Coturnix japonica: one gene and its partners. The protein of the gene in region 4 purifies or fractionates together with the protein of the main gene of each other region. This does not show direct contact. Links are inferred from orthologs where the notes say so. Each region holds a gene or a part of one and is shown on either strand. Other genes may lie near its edges. The genes, in order: TDP1, PARP1, APTX and LIG3.

Evidence for each region.
Region 1: the proteins of LIG3 (region 4) and TDP1 purify together in Homo sapiens (affinity purification with mass spectrometry; 4 studies listed by BioGRID and IntAct, with this or other methods). This does not show direct contact. The link is inferred for Coturnix japonica from reciprocal best matches to the Homo sapiens genes LIG3 and TDP1.
Region 2: the proteins of LIG3 (region 4) and PARP1 purify together in Homo sapiens (affinity purification with mass spectrometry; 3 studies listed by BioGRID and IntAct, with this or other methods). This does not show direct contact. The link is inferred for Coturnix japonica from reciprocal best matches to the Homo sapiens genes LIG3 and PARP1.
Region 3: the proteins of LIG3 (region 4) and APTX purify together in Homo sapiens (affinity purification with mass spectrometry; 3 studies listed by BioGRID and IntAct, with this or other methods). This does not show direct contact. The link is inferred for Coturnix japonica from reciprocal best matches to the Homo sapiens genes LIG3 and APTX.

Annotation. Positions count from the first base shown.
Region 1 is NC_029520.1:39,634,474-39,638,532, forward strand, and holds the start of TDP1 (tyrosyl-DNA phosphodiesterase 1), read left to right. Parts: upstream 1-1,222; 5' UTR 1,223-1,318; exon of another isoform or gene 1,319-1,325; intron 1,326-1,349; exon of another isoform or gene 1,350-1,371; intron 1,372-1,615; 5' UTR 1,616-1,619; coding exon 1,620-2,163; intron 2,164-2,722; coding exon 2,723-2,766; intron 2,767-3,475; coding exon 3,476-3,531; intron 3,532-4,059. Other genes in the region: EFCAB11 (EF-hand calcium-binding domain-containing protein 11), read right to left, coding at 658-753, 1,124-1,210. UniProt on the Homo sapiens protein: DNA repair enzyme that can remove a variety of covalent adducts from DNA through hydrolysis of a 3'-phosphodiester bond, giving rise to DNA with a free 3' phosphate.
Region 2 is NC_029518.1:14,815,046-14,819,102, forward strand, and holds the start of PARP1 (poly [ADP-ribose] polymerase 1), read left to right. Parts: upstream 1-1,200; 5' UTR 1,201-1,283; coding exon 1,284-1,403; intron 1,404-2,096; coding exon 2,097-2,259; intron 2,260-2,578; coding exon 2,579-2,697; intron 2,698-3,734; coding exon 3,735-3,949; intron 3,950-4,057. UniProt on the Homo sapiens protein: Poly-ADP-ribosyltransferase that mediates poly-ADP-ribosylation of proteins and plays a key role in DNA repair.
Region 3 is NC_029547.1:62,425,040-62,429,151, forward strand, and holds the start of APTX (aprataxin), read right to left. Parts: upstream 2,808-4,112; 5' UTR 2,665-2,807; coding exon 2,535-2,664; intron 2,313-2,534; coding exon 2,266-2,312; intron 373-2,265; coding exon 37-372; intron 1-36. Other genes in the region: DNAJA1 (dnaJ homolog subfamily A member 1), read left to right, coding at 3,028-3,159, 3,242-3,419. UniProt on the Homo sapiens protein: DNA-binding protein involved in single-strand DNA break repair, double-strand DNA break repair and base excision repair.
Region 4 is NC_029534.1:3,391,696-3,395,351, forward strand, and holds the end of LIG3 (DNA ligase 3), read right to left. Parts: intron 2,804-3,656; coding exon 2,632-2,803; intron 1,944-2,631; coding exon 1,852-1,943; coding exon of another isoform or gene 1,817-1,851; intron 1,135-1,816; coding exon 901-1,134; 3' UTR 556-900; downstream 1-555. UniProt on the Homo sapiens protein: Isoform 3 functions as a heterodimer with DNA-repair protein XRCC1 in the nucleus and can correct defective DNA strand-break repair and sister chromatid exchange following treatment with ionizing radiation and alkylating agents.

The DNA of each region.
Region 1 (4,059 bases), on a different chromosome or scaffold from region 4:
AACAAATGTTTTCAATTAATTTTTGTGCAGCTGCACAGACAGAACAGCCCACAGCCAGGTGGTCACAGCACTGTCTAGAGACACAACAGGTGTGACATGGCACTTTTCCAGGTAGAAAGTACTAAACCTACATCTCCCTTCTTCCTGGGAGTTCTCCACTTCTATTTTCTTCACAAAAAGGAATCAAGAGTGATTTATGCACAGAAGCTGCTCTTGATTGAATGCCTTAATCATGCTTGCAGAATTCCTACTAAGGAATTTAATATCATATAAATCATATTTCTATTATTTTTATGTTATTTGATCATATACAAAAAGTTATCTATGATCACCTTGAGAATTTCATACAGCTATAGATTTATATTACAGAAGCCAAGGCTAAAAAAGACATTCATTAGAACCCAAAACTAGGTGTTTTTGAGAATACATGTTTATTAGTAGTATGTACAACTGCTTTACATCTCATGAACCCACTATGTAAAGAAATGGAGCGTACCGCTAATAAAAAGCAAGTTTGACTTTGAATCTTGACCAATAACAAGCCCAGTATATCACTTGTTTCATATGGCACATAGATATGAAATACAGTGTGTGCTTCTGCTCATTCTACAGAATAACATCTTAGTAAGAAAGGTTTGATTTCATTCAGATACATACCTCTGACAGCTTATAACCAAACAACATCACTACAGCAACTTCAAAGTCCTCTCTGTCCAGATAGCCTTTGTTACCTTCATCACACACTTCAAAAACCTGCAGAAACAAAGCGAGCTGCATTAAAAACAACAAATCTGACACACTATTTTTTACTTAAAATAACTGTTATGGGAAAAATAAGCACTTGCTTAGTGAACTAAACGATTAAAAGATACGTATAATGAAGCTCAGTCCCACCTCTGTAACAACTATTTTCAACTACCATTAAGGTAACTGAGGGACTAAGAATGGTCCATTTTGAGGTGTTTTTTTTATTTATTTATTATTATTTAAAATATTTTTTCCCCTTCTTCTAAAAGGCTTTCTTTCCCAAAACAAACTTAGAAGACACGGCACAGATTTCTAGAACCAAACTACACTATTCCCAAGGCCCCTCGTCCCCTCCCGCAGCAGCCCCGTCTCGCACCGTGGCACAGCGCTCCCGTAGCGAACCCACGGCGGCGGCTGCCCGGCAACGGCGCCGCTGTGTGGGGCGGAGCGAAAGAGGCACCATCGCCTTCCCCACCTCCTGAACTCGGCCGGCAGCCCGAGCGCTTGGGGAAGCCGCCGTCCTCCCGGAACGGGAAGGGGCGGGCGCAGATTGGCGCGAAGAGGCGCTGTGGTGAGCGGTGTGTTTGTGGGGTGGTGGTGTGTGCCGGGCTGGGGCTGGTAATGGTAACGCCATCATGCTGCTGCCGTGAAGGGTGGGAGCGGCAGTTGGAGCCACTGCAGCCGCTTCCTCCTCGATAGCCGTTTCTGTTTCTTTGTTTCTTGGGAGCAGCTCATTATTGTTTTGCATATGAGGATCGTGTCAGATCTGGGGGGTGGAGGTTATTATAACACGCAAGCGGAGAGTGGGAAGGGAAGCAGCCCGGAGCAGAGCAAAGTGCATGACTTCTAGTCTCTTCTTCATTTATAGTAACATGCTTCAGGAAGGTGCCCACGGGCGGTGGACTGTGTCCAGCAGTGAGGACAGCGCTGAAGACAATTCTGACAGTGAAAAGCCCTCGACGTCCTCGCTACCGAGTGCCCTGCACAGTGAAGCCAGCGGGCCGCAGTACCCCTGCTCTGAGGCGAGGAGGGCTGCTCACAAGAGGAAGGCTTCTCCAATAAAGTTCACTGACACGCACCTCAATGCACAAACACCTCCTGCTGAAAAGCAGAGGCCCGGCCAGGAGGGCTTGGGTTGGTGCCTTTCTAGTAGCGATGAAGAGCCTGAAGACCGGGGGAAGCGAGTCTGCAAGGAAACACTGAAAGAAGAAAAGTGTGATGCACCCGGAGAGCAACTACAGAGTCATTGCAAAGATGAACGTTCAAAGATTGAGAAAGCAGAGGACTATAATGAAGCGTCACGTGAACCCCAAGATACCTGGGATTTGCTGAGTGGAGGGAACCCCTTTGGGTTTTTTCTCACTAAAGTCAGGGGAATTGAGCAGAGCTACAATTGTGGAGCCCTGCACATAAAAGGTGAGCAAGAGGATCTCACAGGAGCGGGCTTTGGGGTGGGAGAGTCTTGCGTGCAAGAGGACACTTAATGTTAGTTTATGGGTTTTTTAAAATGCAAAGATTCCTTGGTTTAAATTAAGCTTCGTAGTTTGAGTGTGAATATTGTAGGAACTGGTCCTGTTTGTTCTTGTCTTTATGGTGTCAAGTAGTTAAGACCTAGTAAATCACTGTTACCTTGACACAGTACACAATACTGCCTGTGAATTTCTGCAGCTTATGTTCTCAGTCACACATCAGGGCAACTGAAGTGAGCATAAGTAAGAGGTGGAATAGCGTGTGACACTGATGGTTTGATAATGCCATGACTGAAATTAGTTTTAGTTTATGTAAAACTACATCCGTACATTCAGGAAACCTCACGCATCACAAGCCTAAATCAAAACCAATCATTAACAGGGGGTTTCACAGCAGAACGAGGGACTTCAGTATCTGAATCTAGCATCTAGTAATTGTGCTGTTCAAGACTCAAAAAGTTCACTTGAGCTTTTTATACTCAATTGTGTATTAATGTTTTTAATAGATATCTTGTCTCCTCTTTTTGGGACCCTTGTGTCTTCTGCTCAGGTGAGTTTCCTATTTGCCAGATTGCCATTGCTTGCTTATTTACCCTTACTATCCTTAAACATGTAAGTGATAATCCATGTTTTGCCACCTAGCTGATTTCAGCAGGGAATTTCATTAAAATACTAAGAGAACGCTGAATGCTTTCAACTGTACATTGTTTTAATAAAAAATAAATGTGATCCTGTGTTCTGCTTAGAGTTCAAGCAAATGTTGAACTACTTTCTCTCTTGTGCTCTGGAAATGTGCAACTGAAAAATGCATCCTCATGTAACTGAATGATAAAACAGAAGGTGTTTTGCATTCTAGGAGTGAGATTTTTGTTACTGCATGAAGCAATTCCTTTTCTTCTTGGTGTAACCACATGGCAAAGGGCACGCTGAACTTCAGCTTTTACATTATGTGGCTGTAATTATTTCTGTCTGCATTCTAAACTTTATGAACACTACTTCATGCTTTTGATTAACTTAAATTTATTCTTGAATGAAGAGATGAGGAAGAGAGCATTTGAAATTGAAAAATGAACCTGTTGTTAAAACATGCTGATTGCAGTTTTGTACTGCTGTTGTGCAAAGGAGCATCATTGTGCGTCTGTATAATGTAAGTGATAATGAACAATAACTTCATGTAAAAAGCATTTTTTTCTGTACTCCATCATTCTGACAGACGGCTACTTCTTTTTAATGAGCTTGTTTTCCTTCTTATGTACAAGTTTAACTACTGTATAGATGTGGCATGGCTCGTGAGACAGTATCCTGAGGAGTACAGGTAGGCTTGCTTTACAAAAATGAAATAATACAATTTCCAAGTTACTCTGTTCATGTAAATTCATCTTATAATTGAATGATAAACCAGTACTTCTCAATTATGTGCACATAGGCATATTCCACACTTATTCCACTATATTTCTCAACTGATTTCTTGCCTCTTATGAGACAATGTTAAATGGTGACAATTCAGTATGGCTGGTTTTGATTTTTATTAGGTAATGTTTAAGACACCCAATCGCAGGCCAAGACAGCAGTGCAGTAGATGAAATGTGAAAACAGAATAAGAATTTCTGTGTTGGATGAGCATGAAAGAAGTGTGTGAAAGAAACTGGAATGATACGTCATGGCTAGAGTTGCTGTATACCGTCGTGGAAGCAGCTCTTATTTCCTTTAAAGGACATTCTGACAATGGCAGTTTATCACAGATGACACTGAATTTTCTTCTCATTTTGCATTTTACTGAAAATTCAGTAGAGCAAATTATTATAAAGTAAACATGGAACTGCTGCTGGAGTAGACCTGGCCT
Region 2 (4,057 bases), on a different chromosome or scaffold from region 4:
CTGTAAAGCAAGGATGATAGCACAGTATTTCCACCTGTGGGTAATGTCAGTGCAAACATTCTGATAATAACTGCGGCAAGTACCATGGCTGTGCTGGGCTCTATGGTATCAACTTTAGACTATGATCTTCCCTAGATGTACAAGCCACACCCCTATTATGTTGCCATGTAATTACTGAGATGAGGCTGCTTGGTGGAGTTCTCAGTCGGTTTGAAATCCTGCTTCTCCTCTACCAACCGCTCATTCCTCGCCTCTTCCCACATCCATTTTCCCATGCATCTGGAATGCTAAAAAAACAGAAGCTTATTTAAAGAAGCTTTCTAAAAAAGGGGGGAAACCATCAGAGCTGCTTCCCAGGGAGTTCTGTGCTGGATTGTAATGTAAAACTGCTCAGGACTGCTGAGGAGGAATCATAGAGCTATTAAGGTTAGAGAATAGCATTAAGTACATCACATCCAACCATCAGTGTGTCAGCTCCATGCCCGCTAACCACATCTCAGTGCCAGGCAGCTCTAGGCACCAAAACCCCACAGGAGCCATGGTAGGAGATACATTCTGTCCCAGAGAGTAGGATAATCCCTTTCATTTATACTGTGATACTATGAGATGCTGTGACACTCACAGAATCACAGAATGACCCGGGTTGGAAGAGACCTCAAGGATCATGTAGTTCCATTGCCTGGCAGGGCCACCAAACCTTTAATGTGGGCTGTATGGCTTTGCGTCCCATTCCCATTGGGGCGGTCTGGCTGATGTCAAGGGGTTGATCGCTGGCACAAAGAGGGAAGGCACAGCTGAGCCATAGCCACTTGTTGCACCTATACAGCTGCCTCAATGCAAGCAAGGTCATACAGCCATAGTGACTGTGTGCAGCACCGTGCAATAAGCAACATATCCATATGGACAGGATAAGTATCCATATAAATATCCATATAGATATCCATATAGATATCCATATAGATATCCATATAAATATCCATATGGGCAGGGTAACACGGCCCGCAGTGCCCCCACTCGTGCTGTGCTGCTGGCGCCCCCTGCTGCTGTAAGGCGGTATCACACCGAGCGGACATGAGCGCACAAGGCCCCGGCCCATTGATACCCCGCACCGCACCGGAAGGTTCCATGCGCCGCCAGACATGCCGAGTCGCTGCCCGAGCGGTGGATGGCGACCAAGCTGCGGGGCGGGCAGTGCGCTCGGCGCTCGGCTATTGCTGCCTGCGGTGGGCGCGCGTCGCGGCTCGGTTCGGCGGGGCCGCGTTGTGGTGTCGGTGGTGGTGGCGATGGCGGAGCCGGGGGACAAGCCGTACCGCGCCGAGTACGCCAAGAGCGGGCGGGCGGCCTGCAAGAAGTGCGGGGACAGCATCGCCAAGGACTCGCTGCGCCTGGCCCTCATGGTGCAGGTACGGCCGCACCGGGGCTCGGCTGCAGTGCCGGGGGCCTCGCGGTTGCCGCCCCCGGGCGCAGAGCGGCGGGTCGGGGCTCGGCCTCACGGTGCTGCGGAGCGCTCGGATCCGAACCGGGGGCGGCGGGGGGCGGCGGTACCGCGGGGCGACCGGTGGAGCCGATGGAGCCGAGCTGAGCTGCACGTGGCCACGTTTCATCCGCCTTTTGTCTGCGGGATGCGGCGCCGCGTTCCGCCGCACGAACGATGCTGAGCGGCTGTGGGCAGGGCCGCATCCAACCCAGCCGGCAGCTCCTCCTGGCCCATCTATGTATGGCCCGGGGCGCACGGAGCGGCCGGCTGTGTTACCGCAGGGCGGGCCTGTGCCCGCAGCACGCGGTGTTAGTAACGCCGCCGTTGTTTGGTGCCAAACCGCCGGGCCGTGCCCTTTGCTGGGTGCCGCAGCGCTGCCAGGCTGTGACCTGGCGGCTCCAAGTCAGCCCAGCACAGCTCTCAGCGGGCGAGGTGCTGCGGAGCTGCAGGGTTGGGCTGTGGTGCCGCCCTGCTGCAGGCTGGGATGTTCCCCTGCCATCGTGGGGACTCTGACACGATGGTGGCCCTTATGGGGCAAGGCCGGTGTTTACCCAAATACCCCCCACCCCGCTCGCTTGGATCTTAGCTGCTGCACCTCAGCCTCGTGTGCTTTTCCTAGTCGCCCATGTTTGATGGCAAAGTCCCTCACTGGCATCACTACAGCTGCTTCTGGAAACGGGCACGGATCGTGTCCCACGCGGATATTGATGGCTTCCCTGAGCTCCGCTGGGAGGACCAGGAGAAAATCAAGAAGGCCATTGAAACCGGAGGCCCTGGAGGAGGTAAGCAGAGCTCTGCTGGTGTTCAAAGCTGGAACCGTGCTCTGTCATCTCAGGCTGTTGTTACAGTTACTTGATGGCCATGTCCCTGCAGCAGGTTGATGTCAGCCTGAGGAAGTGTATTAATAATTTTAAAATTTAAAAAAATAGGAAATGGAAGCTGTCACTTTGAAAGAGGACTTAAATTTTGAGAGGGGTTCTGTTTTGAAGCAGAACACAGAGGTTTATTAATCCAGATTGCTAATAATCTGTAACAGATGGGGAGAAACAAACAAGGAGGGAGGGTGCCTTTTAAAGCTCTGTATTTACCTTTGATCTGCAGGAAAAGGAGGGGACCAGGAAGGAGGTGGCAAAGCGGACAAGAGCCTAACTGACTTTGCTGCAGAGTATGCCAAGTCTAACAGGAGCACTTGCAAAGGCTGCGAGCAGAAAATAGAAAAGGTAAAAAGCTTTTCTTTAGTTCTCCATCTCACCTGTTTTCCCACTGATCCCAGTTCAAACAGAAGCTTCTGCTACTGCATCCTGTATGTCCTGCACTTGGAGGGCAGTTGCAGAGCTGATTTTCTGTGCCTGAGGAACGGCTGCGTCTTGGAATACTGACATAAAGACATGTGCCTCAGGCACTGGAGCCCGGACTTCTGATCTGCTGATGCTTCCTTTTGCATGAGCATTACGGCAGACTGAAATGCTGCTTGCCAGTAGATTTGGTTGGAATAAAAGAGAGAGCCACCACTAACTGCCTTCTGCTTGTTCATGCACTGCAGAGATGTTAGCTGCTTCTTCTCCTTTGTTTCTGTGCAGTGTATAAATCAGACAAAAACAGCAGTACGTCTAATTAATGATGCTGCCCCATATTTCAGCCTGTCTTGTTGCCCTACTTTTAAAGACAATCAGCAAAGTGAAGCCGTGAGCCTCTGATAGGTGAGAATAGAGCTGCCAGTTCTGTGCAGTTGGTGAGGGATGTGTGACGGCGCTGGTACACTTGTGTTTCCAGAAGTGTTAGTGGCTGGGGTGTAGGAAGCATTGCAGTCTAGAAGCACTTAAGCCAAGTACTTCCTTGGGTATCTGAAAAGTAATTTCCAGAGGATGAGATTGTAGTAAAGATTGACTGATAAGGACATAAAGTCAGCTTTCAGAATCCCCTCCATGGGGCTTGGTGATGTGATCTCTGCTTATCTTTGCTTATTCAAGTTAACTGGCAGGGAGTTGAAGTTAAGACTACAGAATTATCTGTTTTAAGTGTTCTTTTTCAACAGAAAGTTACTTAACAGGCACTTTTTCCAGCCTAGGACAAGGTATTAGTGAAAGCATTGGAGCTGTAAGGAAAAGGCTTGGACAGTTGTTTCAGGCTTTGGTGGAGGGGCTATTGGCGTTTAGCAGGTGTGCAGGAAGCATCATGTTGATAACGAGCTTACTAACATCCTGCTTCTCCCAGGACAGCCTAACAATTGCTGTTGTGTCTTTTTAACCTGCCCCAGGGCCAGATTCGGATTTCCAAGAAGATGGTGCATCCTGAAAAACCACAGCTGGGGATGATTGATAACTGGTACCACCCGGACTGCTTCGTGAGCCGCCGGGCAGAGCTGGGCTTCCTCCCTGCATATGGGGCCACCCAGCTCCTGGGCTTCAGCATCTTGAAAGCTGAAGATAAAGAAACTCTGAAGAAGCAACTACCGGCTACTAAGACTGAAGGGTATGTGGGGAATGCGGCAAATCGTGTGATTTCGAGGAACAGTTACTTGCCCTCATATACATTTGTGATGAAAGGGTCGTGGATTTGTTATCTTAGTCTCAAAAGAAT
Region 3 (4,112 bases), on a different chromosome or scaffold from region 4:
GAGAAACAGCAGAAGTACTGATACAAATACACTTGCCTTTCCGCTCGTTGACTCTTCAAATAGAGGTGTGCTACTCTTGCTTGGCCTGAAGTCTGAAAAACTGCTTAGTGTATCCATCACCATCATCTTCTTTGCCTTTCTGGGAACATTTTCTGTATCATCCACACAGGACTCCTCAAATGGCCTCTTTTCAGTTTGTGTTTTCTCTTCTTCTTCCGTAACAGTTTCCTCTGATTCTTCACTAAATTCACTAAATTCCACCACAAAGGGGTAACGTCTGTTCACCATATGCAGAACTTGGCCTGGCCTCATTTTCACCTCTTCACCCTTGCCAACATCCACTAAGTCAACACTAGTTGTGTTGACTCCTATCTTTGGTAGAGAGAAAAATAATTTTAAAAGCTGATGTTGTAACTGAAATCACCAGCAGCGACTGGTCAGCTACCCCTGAGAACCACCATGCTGTAAAGCTTATGTGTTTGGTTTTTACTCCACCCCATCCCATTCTGGGAAGCTCAAGATTGGCAGCACCAGGCAATGACCAATCTCATGACTGCAGCCATTTGGACACAAACCAAAGCTTCAGCAACAATTATTTCTGAAAAAAATAACAGCAGTTTTAACAAGCTATTTCAATACAGCAATTCACAGAAAGCTCACTTCACATTATTTTCTGTCAATCCTCTTTTCTTTGTTACTACATTTTGCTATCTATCCAGCACCTATCGAATGCCACCCCATCAATACATCTACCTTCAAATACATAAGCCTGTACTTGCAGCTCATCTCAAGAGATGGTTGTTTAGGCTCACAGCAGCTAGCTCTCATTTAACCACAGCACACTGCTAACACTTGCAATGCACTCCCTCCTGTGTAATGAAAAGAGAAACGAGGAAACAAGTTTACTGGAGCTCCCAAAGGACACTGTTGCACAGGGCTCAGCTCCCAGCCCCCATTCTTGTTTCCCAGGCCAGATGTACCACTGCCCAGACCACAACTAACTGTTCAAACACAGCCAGTGAGAACATGTGTCTGTTCTTTGGAGTTACACTAAACCTCTCTGCCCACCTCAGCTCGTGCCAGGTATATACAGGCTGAAGTACATTTTTATGCTTTTAACCTTTTATAACCTTTTTTATATATAAAAGCATAAAACCTTATGCTTTTAACACAACTTGAAAATTGTTTTCTATTCAAAATAATGTTTTAAAGACTCAGAAGCTACTGAAGTTCAGCTGGTAATGGAAAAGCAATACCTGGTAACACAACATGGCATGGGCAACCTACATGGGCCAACTGAGCAGATTTTGTATGGCTATGCAGACTACCCTTGGAAACGAGTCCCTGCCTTCAGCTAAATGCTTCTGGTTCATGTTTATATACAAAACAAGTTTTGGAAACCAGTTCTTGCTTCTGACTGATAAACTCTTCTCATGTTTCTTTAACCCTGTCGGTCATAAACATGCTTGTTTCACAAGACATCACTATGCTTCTCATCACCTCATCTTCAATCTGATGGAGTGACTGCCCAATCCTAGCCAAAGCCTCCTCATCCTACAGTGCCAGTTTCAGTCAAACAAAGCACATGTCACATTGCAGGACAGCAATACAGCTGTGCGCTCCTGCATTGAGGTACAAATGGAAAACAGACCCTTTCTGAGGACTTTCTGACGAAGATGATCAGGGGGCTGGAGCATCTCCCCTATGAGGACAGGCTGAGGGAATTGGGTTTGTTCAGCCTAGAGAAGAGAAGGTTGCAGGGTGACCTCATTGCAGCCTTTCAGTACCTGAAGGGAACCCACACCCAGGAGGGGAGTAAACTCTTTGAAAGGGCTGACAATAGCAGGACACGGGGAAATGGTTATAAGTTAAAAGAGGGAAGATTTAGGTTGGATGTTAGGGGGAAGTTCTTCACTAGGAGAGTGGTTAGGCCCTGGAACAGGCTGCCCAGGGAGGTTTGTGGATGCCGCCGTCCTTGGAGGTGTTCAAGACCAGGTTGGACGGGGCCCTGGGCAACCTGATCTAGTAAAGGTGTATGTTTGGTGGCCCTGCCAGGCAGGGGGTTGGAACTACATGATCCTTGAGGTCCCTTCCAACCCGGGTCATTCTGTGATTCTGTGACCATCTGATGAACTCCTGATGGCCACAAAATAGCTCCAGGACTTCATAATCTAGGATGAGATCTGTAATTCGCAGTATTAGTGGACTTCAAGCATAACAGGCCAGTAAGCATTAGAAACACTAAGAAACCGCTTAAAAACATACCTGCTTAACAGTAACATATCCCTCGTTACAGTCTGCTTTCAACACAACTGAAAGAACAAAAAGTCATGAAAAGCCGTGAAAAGAAAGGCCTGAAATCCACCCACCCAGCCCTTGGGGAAAACACTCGTGCACCCTCAGCCTTGCGGCAGAGAGAAGAGCTCTGCCTCATCACCCACGTCCTAAGCAACAACACACAAGGATGAAGCTGACATGACAGCACTCCCCCCCCCCCTTATGCTCGCTGCAGCAGCCGGGAGGCGCGGCCTTACCTTGCCGCCGCGAGCACCTCCTGTCGGTGATGCCTGTGAGCGGCCCGCGGCCCAGCACCACGTCGGCCATGTGGGGCAGCAGCACCCGTAGGCCTCGCTCCTCCATGGCCAGCAGCCAGCAGTCCCTCATGGCCGCGCTGTGGAGCCGAGCACACACCGCGTTACCGGGCCGCGCCGCCCGCCATCGCGGGCCGCACCATGGCAACGCGGCCTACACCGCGCACGACCCCGCACAACCTCCGCCAAGGACGCATGCGCGCTCCCGTCTCGAGTCCTTCTGCCTGAGTGGGCGGGGCCTCGCTGAGGCTGAAGGCGCTGATTGGCTTAGCGCGCTCCGCCTCCTTCTCCTATTGGTTGTTCCTCTCTTGAAGCTGACTTCCGGGGCGGGGCGGCGCCGTCTCAAAAGCGCCGGATACGGCCCGGCTCCGAACTTTCCAGAAGAGTCGGGAGCGGAGCGGGGCTGTGTGGGCAGAGCGGGCAGTGAGGGCCCAACATGGTGAAGGAGACCAGGTACTACGATGTGCTGGGCGTCAGCCCCAACGCCTCGGCTGAGGAGCTGAAGAAGGCGTACCGCAAGCTGGCCCTGAAGTACCACCCCGATAAGAACCCCAATGAGGGAGAGAAGGTGGGTGAGGGGCGGCAGGGAATGAGGGCCGGGAGCGGCGGGACCGCGGGGTGTCTGAGGTGTGTGTGTGTCCATCCCGCAGTTCAAACAGATCTCACAGGCCTATGAGGTGCTGTCCGACCCCAAGAAGAGGGACCTGTACAACAAGGGCGGCGAGCAGGCCATCAAGGAGGGCGGATCGGGAGGCGGCTTCGGGTCCCCCATGGATATTTTCGACATGTTCTTCGGCGGCGGTGGGAGGATGCAGAGGGAGAGGAGAGGTATGAGCGGCTTCTGACCCCATCCCGGGCCCGCAGAGCAGTTCTGCTGTTCTTAGGATGTTCCCGTAGGCAGCCTGGGGGTGGAGGGCTGCTCAGGGAACGCGAGATGTAGCGCTGAAGGCCGTGGTTAATGAGCTGAGTGGGGGGTGCGGCTTAGTGAGCTTCCTTACCTTAAGGATCCGATCTGTGCAAGCGGCCGAAGTGCCGTCCCTTAACGCGCGAAGCAAACAAGGGGAGGGTAGTTGCATAGTGCAATGTTTGAAGCCGTGCTTTGTGTTGGTCTCTAACCGGGCTTTGTGCTTGGAAAGCTTTGGCTGAATGGTTGCCTAGCTTTTGTTACTGAGTAGGAAACGCAGGAGTAACAAGCCTTAAAGTAAGTGCTAAGTAAGGTGCCACGATATCAAAATGGAAGTTGATCTTACATTGTAAGTGGCCCCAGGTTGGACGGGGCCCTGGGCAACCTGATCTAGTAAATGTGTGTGTTTGGTGGCCCTGCCAGGCAGGGGGTTGGAACTACATGATCCTTGAGGTCCCTTCCAACCCGGGTCATTCTGTGATTCTGTGGCTTTATCTAAATAAGATAACCAAGTTACTTTGACTCTGAAGCCTTCTTGTGATATTTAGTTGAACTGGATTGAGTGCAGCTGCAGTAATGTTCTGCTCAAAAGTTAAAATCTAGAGGTAGCATAAGGG
Region 4 (3,656 bases):
TTAAGCTGCAAATCAATGACAGAAATTTTATGAATGAGAAGAGGTACCCATCTGAGGTCTGAGATGTGCTTTCTGAAGGGAAAAGCACCTTCTGACTACACTGTTTTGCTTGTTAAATCAAAATCTGGAAGACTCGTTTAATAATCCAAAGGAATATAGTGATCTGAACTAATAAAGTAAATGGGAATATTTATGTGCTTTATGTATGCTGTACATAGTTTAAATATTTTAAAGTTAATATTCTACTTGAAATGGCATGTTATTCTCTATTAAATCCTCTCGGTACTATGATAGTTAAACTTACTAGTTTTGGTACGGAAGCTTGGTTTATAATTTTATAATAAAGTTGAAATGTGATTTAGTTAACCTTGTTTTCTGACTCTGTTACCAGCAGGAGAAAACCAGGAAAGGTTTGGGATATCAGGTGTTTAAATATTGCAAGGTGAGGTACAAGGACAGCCTTGTTAAAGGGGAAAAAAATAACCTTTTAGCAGTACTACCTTAACTTTGTGGAAAGTGGGACAAACAGCAAATAACCTTTGGAAAAGAAGCTCCTGACAGCAAAAGGAGAAACTGCTTCAGTTTATTTATTTATTTATAAAAAATACCCAAACTTTAAAAACCCACAGAGATGAAACCAGCACCTGGATAAGGGTGTTGGTCTACACTATGGGCAGAGAAACAGAGACAGCAGTGACATCCTTCAGAGAGCTATTTTAATTCATTCCATATAGCTGCTATGGATCATCCTAACTACCTCTGATGGACTTGAGCACGATATCTCTATCCACATCCCCACAGAGGAATCTCACCCTTTTCTTCCACCTACCTACTTCAACTGTTCCCCTTGGGGATTTCCTGAAGTGTAGCAGTGTAAAGAGCACTCAGCTGCCCTGCCTGCTAGCACAGGGCCACCAGTCTCCGTTTCCGGATGCATTCCCAGATCCATTTGGGAGACACCCGCTTAGCACCAGGATTCTCATCAATGTCCCCAATAATGTGTGTTGCTGAGGCTGCGTCGTACTCTGACACAAGATCACCATCGTATGCTATGAAGTAGCGCTGGATTTTCTTGTAGTCCTTTACAGTGGGTGACAAGTAGAGCTTCACACCAGTGAATATGTCCAGCAGCAGCTGTGCAGTGTGAAAGAAAAGCAAAGGTTGGTTAAAAAGTTACACTATGTGGAAAATAGCTTAAGATTATACTTGCATCTCACTGAAGAGTAACGCTCATACAGCTCCCTTAAAAGGCAGGTACTACAACAGAGCAGTGACCCCTGGATAAGGGAATTATTACTCCATCAGTAACCCTTGCATGTGCTGCCTACACATGCTGATCAGGTGAATGGGGTTTTAATGCCTTTGCCTTTACAAGCTGATGTTTCTTAGTTGAAGTGGGAGACTATAATTGCCCTGGGAGTGGACTTGCTGTTGTGGAGTAGCAAACAGCTACTCCAATCTTATCAGTAAATTATAGCTCAGCAATTCTTAATACACTCCTACACTTTGCTGCACAATGAGCTAGAAAGGACAATTCCTATACAGCTCTTTTCTATAAGCAGCCACTCAACAATCACAATGTGTTGCCTCTGAAGAGCAGGACGTTGTTGGTTGCTGGATAGAGAGCCTTGAGAATGACAAACAAAGTAATGTCAACTCTGCTGGTATGGGAAAAAAAACACTGCAGAAATCTGCTTTCTTTACAAGTCTCATTATCACTATCTCCACCCCTAGATCTCCTTTTAATTTGGGATGCTGCTGTGGAAGTTTTGAATGCTTCCTACATGGAAGGTAGTATTGAAATGTCTCCACTTACTCCCACCTGAGTGGTTGCTGCCCAACTGTCCGTACCTTCTTTCCATTGTCTTCTATCTCAGATGCTTTTCGCTTCTCTCCTCGTTTCTCCTCTGCCTTTTGAGGGGATTCAGCGACTGCTTTGGTGCCTAAAAACAAGGATGTATCTCACTGTTCCTGTCTACAGCCCAGCTGTATATTAAAAGGAGGCAAAGAAAAGCAAGGATATGGAAAGGTAAAAGGCTTTCCCAATCTGTTCTGGAAAATCTGTGCATTAGAACATAACTGGTAAGATGCTGCTTTCTACCACTAATGGTAGAATTCATCAGGGCATCTTCCTGCCCTTCTTTCTCTCCAGCTGACTCCATAGCTCAGCCTTCCTCCTTGCTGTCACCACACCATATTTCTGGGATTGCTCAGAAATCTGCTACAGGTTATTCTGCAGCACATGGCTTTGCAGTCTACTATCTGGAAATCCCCTCCAGGTGCCTTGCACTGTATGTATGAACTTAAGCCAAATAAAATTAAATGCTGGTTCATGGCCAAAAGTATCTAACTGAAGGGCATGTAGCTGCAGGAACAGGAGCAGCAGGTTTGCTGCTCAGACCAGTCTTACACAGTCTGTTAAGGACTGTGATTAAAGATAAAAAGGAACTGCAAGTCCCACAGAGATTACATCATGTTTAATTTTGGTGGTGTCTATAACTGAGACACCAACACAAGCCAAACCAAGGGTTGAAACCAGCTCTGCCCATTAACTAAAACATCTTTATAAAAGCAGCGCGTAGAAGGTGAAGAACACATCCTGAGGTTCCCCTCCATGGGGAGAGGCCTTACCTTCTGGTTTCATGGCTTTTGCAGGGGACTTAGGAGGAGTTTTAGTCATCTTGTGTGGTGTGGAAGACCTGGAATTTCCCTCATTCTCTCCACTGCTGCCAGCTGTGGACTCCTCCTCCTCCCCAGCAACAACACTGAAATCAGCCTTTTCTTTGCTGAGTTGGTACAGCTCCTGTCCGAGCAGAAACAAAACATTCCCTTTAGCCAAAGTGAAACCTCTCATAAGCGGACATAAGCAGTAATTCATGTGCTCCTCTCACTTTCTATCCCCACCCCATGAAGCATTTGCTCTTACGTTTTTTTCTTCCTGCACCTCTTTGTCACCATTTTTCTGTCAGCTATGTTCAAGCTCTCTGCTCTCTACCCAGCAGCTCAACATTAAGAGAAGCCACACATTAATATCATCTACCAGTAAGCAAGTCAGACTAACTCCTCAGAGCCTGGCTCTCTGGACTGAAAAATGGCCAACATCCAACATTCTGTCCGAGAGTATTTTACCTCTCTTCCCCCCTACCTGCACAGTGAGCCAGAAACATTCCTGCAGAGAGACTGAATCCTTTCTTCGATGGCATGACAAGCATTTACATCTGCTGTCAGTGTCCCTGTAGGCAGTGCGAAGACAGCCCAAATGACAATGACTAGACTGAGAACAGAGCACATGGGCAGCTGACTTACTGCTTGGGGTGGCACCAGGCCAACTGGTTTCTATCACTGAAGGAGGCATAGAAGCTGCATGGGGCAGTGCAGCCCTGGAGCAGGGCAGACTGCCATTTGGCCCCTGTGCTATGGAACCAGGCCAGGCTACCCTTAGTCACTTCCCAGATGCCTCCTGCAATCTCAGCAATTAATGAGAAACCGAATGACCATAAACATTTAAGAGAATTAAGGTCAGCTCCTTCAGGAAGGAAATTGCTCACCATGAAGGCAGTTACAAGAGCTGATAGAACTAACTGCCAGCTAAAACCTTCCCCAGAAGCACACAACAACAGCTCTCAAGACTCAAGGAGAAAGAGAACCATGGAAAA